Callithrix jacchus: one gene and its partner. The protein of the gene in region 2 purifies or fractionates together with the protein of the main gene of each other region. This does not show direct contact. Links are inferred from orthologs where the notes say so. Each region holds a gene or a part of one and is shown on either strand. Other genes may lie near its edges.

Evidence for each region.
Region 1: the proteins of CLCN4 (region 2) and TMEM9 purify together in Homo sapiens (co-immunoprecipitation; 3 studies listed by BioGRID and IntAct, with this or other methods). This does not show direct contact. The link is inferred for Callithrix jacchus from reciprocal best matches to the Homo sapiens genes CLCN4 and TMEM9.

The regions. Positions count from the first base shown.
Region 1 is NC_133520.1:28,165,730-28,170,774, reverse strand, and holds part of TMEM9 (proton-transporting V-type ATPase complex assembly regulator TMEM9), read left to right. Parts: intron 1-983; coding exon 984-1,115; intron 1,116-5,045. UniProt on the Homo sapiens protein: Transmembrane protein that binds to and facilitates the assembly of lysosomal proton-transporting V-type ATPase (v-ATPase), resulting in enhanced lysosomal acidification and trafficking.
Region 2 is NC_133524.1:10,362,056-10,367,673, forward strand, and holds the start of CLCN4 (H(+)/Cl(-) exchange transporter 4), read left to right. Parts: upstream 1-2,283; 5' UTR 2,284-2,728; intron 2,729-5,618. UniProt on the Homo sapiens protein: Strongly outwardly rectifying, electrogenic H(+)/Cl(-)exchanger which mediates the exchange of chloride ions against protons.

The DNA of each region.
Region 1 (5,045 bases), on a different chromosome or scaffold from region 2:
GATCAGAAGTCGGCAATGGCCAGGTGTTGCAGAATTAGGAAAAGCATTTGAGAGGGAGTCAGCAAGTCTGGGTTTGAGTCACACCTCCTCCATCTGGTAGCCTTGGGATCCCAGGTGATCTAGCCCAGCAGTTCTCACTCAGATGATTACAGCCCCCCAGTGGGTATGTAGAGGTGGGTGAAGGTGCTTTTGTGGTCCCAATAACTGAGGTGTATTACCAATACCGTTACAGGGACCATGGATGCTAAATATCCCACCCAAAATCCCAGAGCACCCACACTGAGAAACACTGAATTTGCCCCATTAAATCTGTCTTTTCTGTAAAAACAAAATGACCCCAGCTTGTGAAGCACTGTGTGTAAGAGATTCGTGGAGTTGTTCTGCTGCTGGCTTTCCCCTCCCTGCGGGGGCTGATCACAGGGCAGGTGTGACTTCCTCCCCCAGTGTACGCCTTCTTACCAGCCCATGCCACTCTGCACAGGGGCGTGCCATGAATGGGTCAGTGTGCCCCATCTGTCCTGTACTCCACAGAGGCAATGAGCTCCCCAGCCCAGGTTTACTCTTCCTGGACGCAGCTTTCCAGCCTCTCCACAGCCAGTTCTTCCTTGCTCTTAGTTTCTGATTGCTTTCCACCCTTCATCATGGACTCTTCTACAGCCAGGGAGGCCCTGTGGTCCCACCTCTATCCTGGGAGCCTCTCAGGACGTCAGGCTCCAGACTTCTTCCTCTGTCATCTGCCTTCTGTCTTGATGCCTACTGTGTAGACTCCCTCAAGTTAGGACAGAGTGCTTCCTCTGTGGAGTAGGGCCCTCCTTTCCCTTTGGGGCATGCTTTCCTTCTAGGCCCACGTTGCCTCCAAGCCCTTTCTCAGTGCAGCACTTGAGGAGTCACTGCCAGCCATACACAGATGGCCCAAGACTAGAAATGGATTTCTGGCCCTGGCCCCAGATGCCAGTTCACAGGCACGCTGGTGTCTTTCTCAGGTCATCATTGTCATCTACCTGTCGGTGGTGGGTGCCCTTTTGCTCTACATGGCCTTCCTGATGCTGGTGGACCCTCTGATCCGAAAGCCAGATGCATACACCGAGCAGCTCCACAATGAGGAGGAGAATGAGGTAAGAGGGCTTTGAGTGCCCAGCCCTGGGCTCCCTGCGTGTGCGTCCCCAGGACGGAACCCAGAGGAGCGTCTCCTAGATCTAGGTTCCACCCCCGCCACATGCTTCAAGTTGCTCTTTTCCCAGTTAGTGTCCTACACGTCACTCAGACTCAGCAGGGACACACCCTTTGCCCTTCCAGATGAAGCAGGACACCTGGCATCAGGCAGCCTCAGTACACAATCCGGGGGAGCTGTGTTGTCCTGCTATACTGTCTTGCCAGGCAGAGGGGATGTGACCAACCAGGGCCAGTCACTCATAGATACACGTACTATCCCCCACGTGCTCGGACACTGGTGACAAGCTGCTAGTGGACTGGAATGCGGCAGGTTAATTCGTTGGTTCAGTGATTCCACAAATATCTGTTGAACACTTGCTCCAGGGTCTGGGGGGAAATGTAGGATTTCAAGAGTGGAAGAGGAATGAGGCAGACAGCGGTGCCAGGCGGGGGACATTGCCTGATGAGTATGTATGAGGAATATTGAGCATTGTAAGGATAGGGTAGGGGTGTGGGGGAATAGTGGCAAAGAGAGCTGGCCAATAGCCTTAGGCCACATTATTAAAGATCCCAAATGTCAAGCTAAGGGGGTTTGGCTTTATCTGATAAGGTACGTAAGGAACCACTAATGCCAGACAGACTGCAAGACCTGCAGGAGTTCACACAATGGTGGGGAGCTGGTGGGGCCTGGACCAGGCCCAGCACAGTTAACAGGCGCTCTCACCATCTTCCCATTCATCCTCATCCTAAAAAGGATGCCATGGAGAGGAAACCCAGGGGGACAGGAAGGCTCAGGTGAAGGGCTCTTCATGGAAGTGAGACGTGCATATCCGTGCTGAGCAGAGTCATGATAAGGCCCACACTCCCCAGGTGGTCTAGGGGAGTCTCCTTGCCGGAGTAAGGACTGCACATTCCCAGGTGCCTCGGGCTCCCCCTTTACACACTCACCTACCCGCTAGCTGGGTGCACGAGACAGCAGAGCAGGCTGCTCAGAGGCATGCAGCCGAAGCAGGTGGGGTTGCCTGCTGCTTCCACTCTGAGCTCAGTCCCCAGGGCCTTGCTGCTGGAGGATATTCCTGTTTATTGACTGATGGAGCAGTGCCCTGAGTGAACTCATGCATATGCATAAGGAATATCGAGTGGGGAAGTGCCTCAGCTAGTCCTGGGAGAATTAGCTGAAGAAACTGAAAGTTGTTCAGCTTGAAGTTAGAAACAACGGAAGACGATGCAGGATAGCTGCCTTCAGAAGTTTGTAGGAGACAGCCTAGCCTCCCCCAGGGCAGAGAGATTTAACACTAACACGGTATAAGCTGGAAGCTAGGGGTCTCCCTGCAGACAGCGTGGTCTAACTGTGAGGTAGGTGGGCTGGGCTCCCTTGCAAGACCATGAGCCAGTTCCTCACCAAAAAGAGGACCCAGGGGCTCAAGTCTACGTGTGAGGCTACGTGGGTGATGTGGGTCTGGGCCAGCATGAACAGTGAAGACAAGGGCAGGTCGGGGAGGGAGCCTGGCTGCTCCCGCAGGCTGTGTTGCCCCCCTTTATACATGCCTGGACTTCTCCCAGTTTTCCTCTAACCTCCTGCTGACATGAGTTTGGCCAAAGGTGGAGCAGAGGAGATGAGCCTTGCCCCGTTGGAGCTGGGGCCTGGGAGGTGGTGGCACTGGCAGTTGGGTGGTCTGTGTTCAAGAGGAAACCTCGTGTGCCTACCTGGTTATTAATGTAGAGTAATGGCAGCTCTGATAGGGGAGAAGCATCGCTAATAAACACTCAGTGATTAGGGGTAATGTGGTAATTGCAGTCCCGGCTGGGGTAGTAATTGAGAGATGCAGCCCAGTGATTTCCGTGGAATGCATGGCTCTGGGGCATGGCCTTGTGTCTCCTGCTGTCCTAGCTAGGGAGTTGGAGGGAGGGCAGCTCGGGGAGGGCAGCTTGCTATCCCTGGGTCTGAAGCCAGGTCTCTCTTACCCCCAGAAGACCTGGGGTGCTCCTCATTTGCAGCCTGGTTGTATGAGGGGCCTTGGAAGAAGGGGTTAGATTTGGGAACCTATAGCAGGTGCTGGAAGGACAGTAGGTTGTGACAGTGCACAGTACATAGAAGCTGGAGAGCCATGCTCCCGGCTGGAGGGGAAATTGCAGCCCTGGGATGGATAGTATGACACCCCCTCACCTCTCACCTGAGGTTCTGAAAATTCATAAAAAGTTGTGTTTATTCTTTGATACTCTGACCTAGGGTGCAGCCAACTCTGGCAGGTTGTGGCCTGGGGCAGGTAGATCTCATCGGGTGCCCTTGACTGGGTAAGGAAGTGCCCCCAGTCCCGTTCTTTGGCATCACCTCTCCATCCCCTCACCTCCTGTGATTCTGTGTGGTCTCCAGGTCACAGGTGTCTATGGTTCAGCAACTCTGCTTTTCTCAGTATATTCAGAAGACCTGTAGGTGGCACAGTGTTGAGGTTTACACAGACCCCTTGGCTCCCTCTCCCCAATTCCTGTGGCCAGGAGCTCTCCTGCCCTGGGGGTAGAGAACCGGTAGAGGAAGGAGAGGCCTCCCACTCAGCTGCAGCCCCTGTCATGGAGGGAGATGAAAGCCTGTCATGTCTGCCCTCAGGCGTTTAAGCCCCAAAAACAGGTGAGCCAGCAGGAGACGGAAAGGCTGGCAGTAAGATCTGGCTTCCTAAGATGGGTGGTCAGCTGAGGAAGTCAGGTGCCTTGGGAGGTCCCTCTTTATTAGACAAGCGGTCGGGAAGTTACCCTTCCCTCTGTGTTAGTCTGGGAAGGAAGGCTTGATGGTAGAGGGGGATTTTCAGTGCCAGCTCAGGATGGATGGGAGAGTGACCAGTAAACTGCAGGGAGGATGAATGGGGTACTACTTCGGATGGACAGAACTCACGGAGCTTGTCTTTACATAGACCTGTGGCCCTAGTTCTGGACGGCGAAGGATGGTCTACTGCCCCTCTCAGCACACAGAGGAAAGGGATGTGGGGAAATGTGGGAGTGGGGGGCAGGCACTCAGCTGAGCAGCAGCACCTAGGCTGTGGCCGTGTCTCTGGGTTTCACCCCAAGAGGAACAAAGTCTGGACGTGGCCTCCTGGGGTACCTTGAAAGCTCGCCTAGGCCTGTACAACTCGGTGACTTTAGAAGGAAAATTCTCTCTAGGCTCCAGGGGCTTTCAGGCCCTATTCCCCAGGAGTCTGGGACCTAGTTAGAGGTGAGATCGGCAGGGCATTTTCTCAGGGCGAGGGGTACCTTGGCTCCCTCTCCCCAATTCCTCTGGCCAGGAGCTCTCCTGCCCTGGGGGTAGAGAACTGGAAGAGGAAGGGGAGGCCTCCCCCGCTCAGCCGCAGCCCCGTTCATGGAGGGAGATGAAAGCCTGTCATGTTCCCTTTGAAAGCGTTGGCAGAGCCTCAGTGGGCCCTGATTGCTGGGCGCTGCCTCCCCTGGAATTCCAGCAGCATTAGGCCTAATCCCTGGGCTCAGACGCCCTTTGAAAGGAGGAAGCAAGCATGTTTGCTGGGGCAGAAACGGCAAACAGAGCTGTTTTAGATGTGCAGGTTGAGCCCTCTTTGAAGAGACACATGGTTTCTCTGAGGCTGGGGATGTCGCTGCTCACAGCCTGGGCCCAAGCTCTGAAGAGGTCTTCAAAGTGCTCACCCTCCTGGGGCAGTGGGTAGAGTTCTGGGCCCCCGTTTGGGAGAGAGTCTGCAGGGAAATGAAGGAAAGGTGGTGATGATGATGGGAATTGGAATACATAGGCACCCAGGAGGGGACTCGGGCCACTGAGGGGCAGTTTCCCCTCCTGTCTGCACATGGGTGGACAGCTGTGTGCTGAGGACCCCAGGCCTGGGGAGCTGACAGTGAAACATGGCACAGACATGCTGATGAGGGCAATGCAGATG
Region 2 (5,618 bases):
TTCTAAATAATATTGCAGCAAACTTTCCCTAGTCAGAGGTTTGCATACTCTTCTTCCCCCACCCCACCCGCCCCAGGGCAGATTCTTGGGCATCAAGTTGCTAGAGCTGTAGCACCCTGAGTAATTGGTGAAACTGTCTTTCTAAGGCATTTGGTGGGAAAAATGCTGAACAGACCACCAGAAAATTGCTCAATTTACATTCCCACGGGTGGTATTGGTTTTTGTTTTTTTTTGTTGTTTTGTTTTTTAATCTTTGCTAAATTGACAGTTTGAAAGGCGAGCTTGGAGGGTGTTCAGAGAGCTCTCATTCTGTTGAGAATTGGAAGGCCCAGTTTTTTGCTTTTTTTTTTTTTTTTTTTTTTTACAATTGAGCAATCACCTGGAAAAAAGAGAAGGTGAAACTAACCTATTGCAAAGAAACTACTCCAGGATGAAGAAGGTTGCCTGTATTTCGTCATTTCAGCCAAGCCGGAACACAGAGCAAGGCTGTCTGCATCGTGCTACCATCCTCTTCAGTCTGCAGGGCATTTGATACACTCACCACCTCCCATTGATTCTGCGAACTCGGGTCACAGAATTCCGTGCAGCCCAGCCTCTGAGGGTGGGGCGTCCTGTCTCCGGGACGCTGGGTTTTCTCTGGACACGAATGTCCCAGGGGTAGGAGGCGAAGGACACTGGCACGGCGGGCCTCCGGCGCCAAGAGGTGACCAAGCTGACTGGGCAGGGCTGAGTGGCTGGGCCGAGCACGTGATGCTCCGAGCCTGCCTCCGAGGCCCTCTGGGCGCCTGAGGCTGAAATCGACATTTGCCTCTGGCAGGAAAATGAGCTTGTCACTTTCTGCCTTCATCAGACCCTCAACCCCAAGGAGCAGATTTCGGTAGCGTTTTAACTTTATATCTCAGAATCTGAAAGCGGAAGGTAAGCTGCTTATATCACTCAGAAAAACAAATTTGAGAGGAGTGACCTAGTAAACTACACTGCGACTTTGTTGATTTTTAAAACCTAGTGTTGAAAATAATTGATCGCCGTGAGAGTCAAGGGCTGTATTTTCCCCCAAATTAGAGATTAACCTTCTGAACAGAAATTTAGTTAATTTGGAGGGAATGATGGCCTAAAGGCCAGGGTTAAATATAGAAGGACAGGAAAGCTGCTGGAATAAATAGCAAGTAAACTTTAACCTGCTTGTAAAACAATCGGTTTCATGTCTCTTTCAGGGCTGTGAACAAAGGGAATGTTAAAATTGTGATTTTTAACTCAAGTGAAAGTAAATGAATCTATTTGTCTACAATTGGAATGCATATAAAAGCAGTCTTGGCTTTTGTCCTTTTACATTTCAAAAACGCTTGTGTGTTTTAGCAAAAGAAAAGTTTATACGTGCACTGCTTAAGTTTGAAATATGCTATTTCAAATTTATGAAATTATCACAGTTGTAATTTCCTAAAGGTTTTCTAGGCAAGGCTGTTACAGTTGTGAATGAGAAATGTTGACATTGTACATATTTTCTGTGATAGTAAAATGACTCATTTCTTCAGAATGTGATAAAAATTAGAAAATATGAAATAATGAGTTATTGTGAATTAACTCATGTCTGAGAGATTAAATGCCCTGCCAGAAGATGTAAGGAAACACACAAATACAACCATGCTCACGTGATAGTGCTTTGTTTTAAATCAACACATATTTAAGTAAGTAGTAGAAAAACGCAGTATCACCATTTTTTCCTTTGGCAAATACAAATTAATATTGGAATGCAGCTATTCAGAGTAATTAAAGCATCATTCATCTGTACAATTAGTATAACGTTCCATAATGAATTGCTTTGAACTAAAGTATTTGGTATAATAGATGATATACAATTTGAAACATGGAACCTCTATGCAAAGTGTGTCCATGCATGGTATTTTGTGTCATTTTGATTTGCATAAAATGTTTATTCCTCCACTGCATTTGATAAATACTAATTTTAAAACAAAACATGAAATTGTATTTCCTTTCACTGTAATCCCCTTATTGCTAATTCTTTTGAAATCCTATTACACGCTTGGAGCCTGTAATAATTTGGATTTCCTCTCCTGTGTGTTGTTTTTCATAATTCTTCGTGAAACGTCAGGAAAACTGCACACATCAAGCGAAACTCCCTGAGGGGCGGCCAGCGCGAGGGTTTCGGGCCATCGCCCCTCACCTCCGGGGACTTCCAGGGTCTTCCCCCCAACCCCGCGCGGACTTCTCCGCGTCACCCGAAGGGGTCACGTGGCAACGTGGGGCCCGCCTCCCGGTGACGTCACGGCGCTCGCAGCCGTCGCGCTGAAGAAAGGATGCTCGAGGATGCTGTCCAGGTGGGCGGCCTTGGGCGCGATGCGGCACTGCAGGTAAGGGGCGCGTGGCGCCGGGACGACCTCCCTGGCGTCCCCGGCGCCGCGGACGCTGCAGGGGAAGCCCGGCCCGCGGGTCTGCAGCCCGGCTGCGCCCCCCAAAACCCAAAGTGGGGCCTCTGGCTGCTGCCGCGCCTGCTGCCTACAGCTGCCTGGTGCAGCTGCACGCACCCGGCAGGGGATGGCCCGTGGCAGGCCCACGCATTACTTGGGTCTTGGCGTGCCCGCCCCAAGAAAGGGGGCAGGGGCCAGACAGAAAGACATGGGGAAGAAAAAAAAAAACGCTCCGGAGGGGGAACAAAATCTGAAATGACCACACTGCATGCATTCTACGTAGAGAGAGGGGCTTTTAAGAGGTACCTATCAATTGTTTTCCTGCTGTCATTCTGCTTCTTAAATAATGACATGGTTACTAATTACAGGCCTTTGTCCTCAGTAATTAGCCTCATTTCTTTCAAAGCAAAAGCGGACTGCGAAGTGGAAACTTCTTGGTTAGCAATTTAAGAGCCAGATGTGCAATCTAAATTGCTTTGCATTATTTTGCAAAGTTCCAGCATTTACAAGGCATACGTCGGAAATGTATCTTTTCTCCTTCCAGGTGTTTTAAGTAGATTAAAAAATAACAGTATCCAATAAAATAAAAATAAATTGCAGCCTCCAAAGGTAACATGTGAGTGTAAGAGACAGCTACATCTCTAAGAACCAAATGATTTTTAGCAGAGGGTGGGGGTGGAGACAAGAGCAAAACCTGAAAATTCCCACAGTTCTTTTTAATTCCCTCGCTGATCATTCGCATGCTGAATGGAGGGGCTTGATGACTCAGCGGCAGATGGCGGTGTGGGGGGGGAGTCAGGTGACTTCAATTCTAGCATGACAGTGGGTGGGGGATTTTAATGGACTCTTTCTACAGCATTTACATTCCTTTCTCTGGGTCAGGAAGAAACTGTAGCCAGGACTTGTGTGGGCACCCTTAGGGGGAGAATGTGGCCTTTTTTTTCCCCTCTAAAACCTGACCCTTCTGGAAGCTTTGGTGTCAGTAAACTGTACTGGAACTCACATTATGAATAATTTGACCCACCAGCAATGCTGGGGGGGGGGGGCCTGTAAAGCAATGCTATTTTCATCAATAATTAAAGGAGGCATTTCTTTCAGAATTTGGGACACCCAGATGTGTTGCTGCAGTAATTTAGTAACTTGTTTGTTGCAATTTTCTTCCTTTGGTTCAGTTTGGTTACAGCAATTAAGATCCTCGGGTCCCTACCCTCTTTTTCTCCCCCAGCCCAACCCTAGACAGAGCAAAGCAGATGATAGAGGAGGATCTAATAGAGACCTAGATTCCACTTCTTGCTTTGTGGCTGTGCAACCTTGGACAAGTCATTGTGTCTTTGGGCCTCGACTATCTTGTCCTCAAAGTAACAAAGGGGTTTAGGTCAGGGTGTCTCAACCTTGGGCACTACTGGCATTTGGGGCCAAATAACTCCTTGTGGTAAGGCTGTTCTGTGCTTGTGAAATGTTTAGCAGAATCCCTGGCCTCCACCAACTAGATGCTAGTAGCAACAACCCCCCACCGGCCCCCAGTTGTGACAATCAAAAATGTTGCCAGACATTTTCAAATGTCCCCTGAGGGCTCCATTGCCCCCTGTCAAGAACCACTGATTTAGATGATCTCGAAATGTTTTTCAGGCTCCAAGAATTCATTTTCTTATGATTGGTTTGTTGCCAAGCCCTTAATAAGAAATCTGATTTCCTTTCTTAATATTGTATATATTGGAAAACACACTGTGAAGGTGTTTTTATGCTGTGAATTTCCAGAAATAGCTTCTGTGAAAGAGGGAGGAGCTGTTTGTATGCCATTTGTAGCTGGGAGGCTAGCTTGGCAGAAAGGAGTGTGTTAGGGAAAGAGATAAAAAACAGAGCACTAGATGAATGTGTGTTGAAAGCTGCCGGGGCTTCGTGCTCAGCAGACCTGGAGCATGTCCCTGGACATACTCACTCTAACCCTGGGTTAGACCTAACAGTGGAGAGTCCATTTCCTTATCTGCAAAAGTGGGAATAACAGTGTCCACTCGGAGGTGCTGTCAGGATGAAATGACACGATATCTGGTGCTGGTGTGGGACGTGGTTAGGATAAGAGGGTGGTGACGTCTATGCAGCTAGCAGGAGGCAAACAAACTGTCTGTACCACCAGCAACAGGGACACTCGCTCAAGGGAGACATGGTCGCGTGCTTTAAGCATCAGTCCAGGGCTTGCATCTAAGGATCTGGCTTTGACACTTAGGGTGACTGTGGCTGCATCACTTCACCTCGAAGAGCTGCTGGCGAATCTGTAAAGCAGGGCCAACTGTACTTGCTGAGTCTGCTTCTTGGCTGTTGGGGAGGGACGGATGGAAGTGAGAGAGTCTGCAGGCTGGGAAACTCCCGAGAGTCGTCGGGAAGCAGGGATGGCAGCTGCATTGACATGTTTATTGTGTTTGTGTATGTGGAGGGTGCTCAGAATGGCCAGAAAACATTTCCTTGTGCCCCAGGCTTGGGACTTTGATATGTCCCTCCCCTGTGTTCCCTTGCTATCGGCTTGTGCGCTCTGTCTGTCTGATCATTCTTGGCACCATGAAAATGGTCTCCTGGAGGAGTTGGGAAAGCCCTGCTGGGGAAGTTGATCTTCAGTGAGGGAGATCCACTGTGCAGAGGGCTGGGGTGAGAGAAGCTGGCTTCATCCACTCCCCACGCCATCCAGGCTTCAGTCCATGGGCATCCAAGACTGAATGGACTGAAGCCTGTCCTCACAGGCTTCAGTCCATGGCCATCTAGGGCAGGTCTGTCACACTCCTGTGTGCCTCCGGTGGCCTTGGTACTCTGTGTAAGCCATCTGACTTTGTCTCTTCAACAAGGCAATAACATGAAAGACAATTTTAAAAAGGGAAGTGGGTTATTCTCTATCAAATGGGACTTAAGAGACTGAATAGCCAAACATCACTTGTGGCCCTCAGTTGGATTTGGCTTGAACAAACATGTGTAACAGGCATTTTGGGGACACCTGGAGACTCTTTGATGTGACTGGCTATTAGATGACATTGGAAGACTGCTGCTGCTTTGATTAGATGTGACAATGTGATGTGGTTGCAGCCCCTCAGACAGACACAGTGATCCCCGTCCCTGGCAGGTGCAACTCACCTTCTCCCCTGGGGTTTGGGCTGGAGCAAGTAATGAACTTCCAATGAAGACAGTATGGCAGCAGGGGGTGGGGTG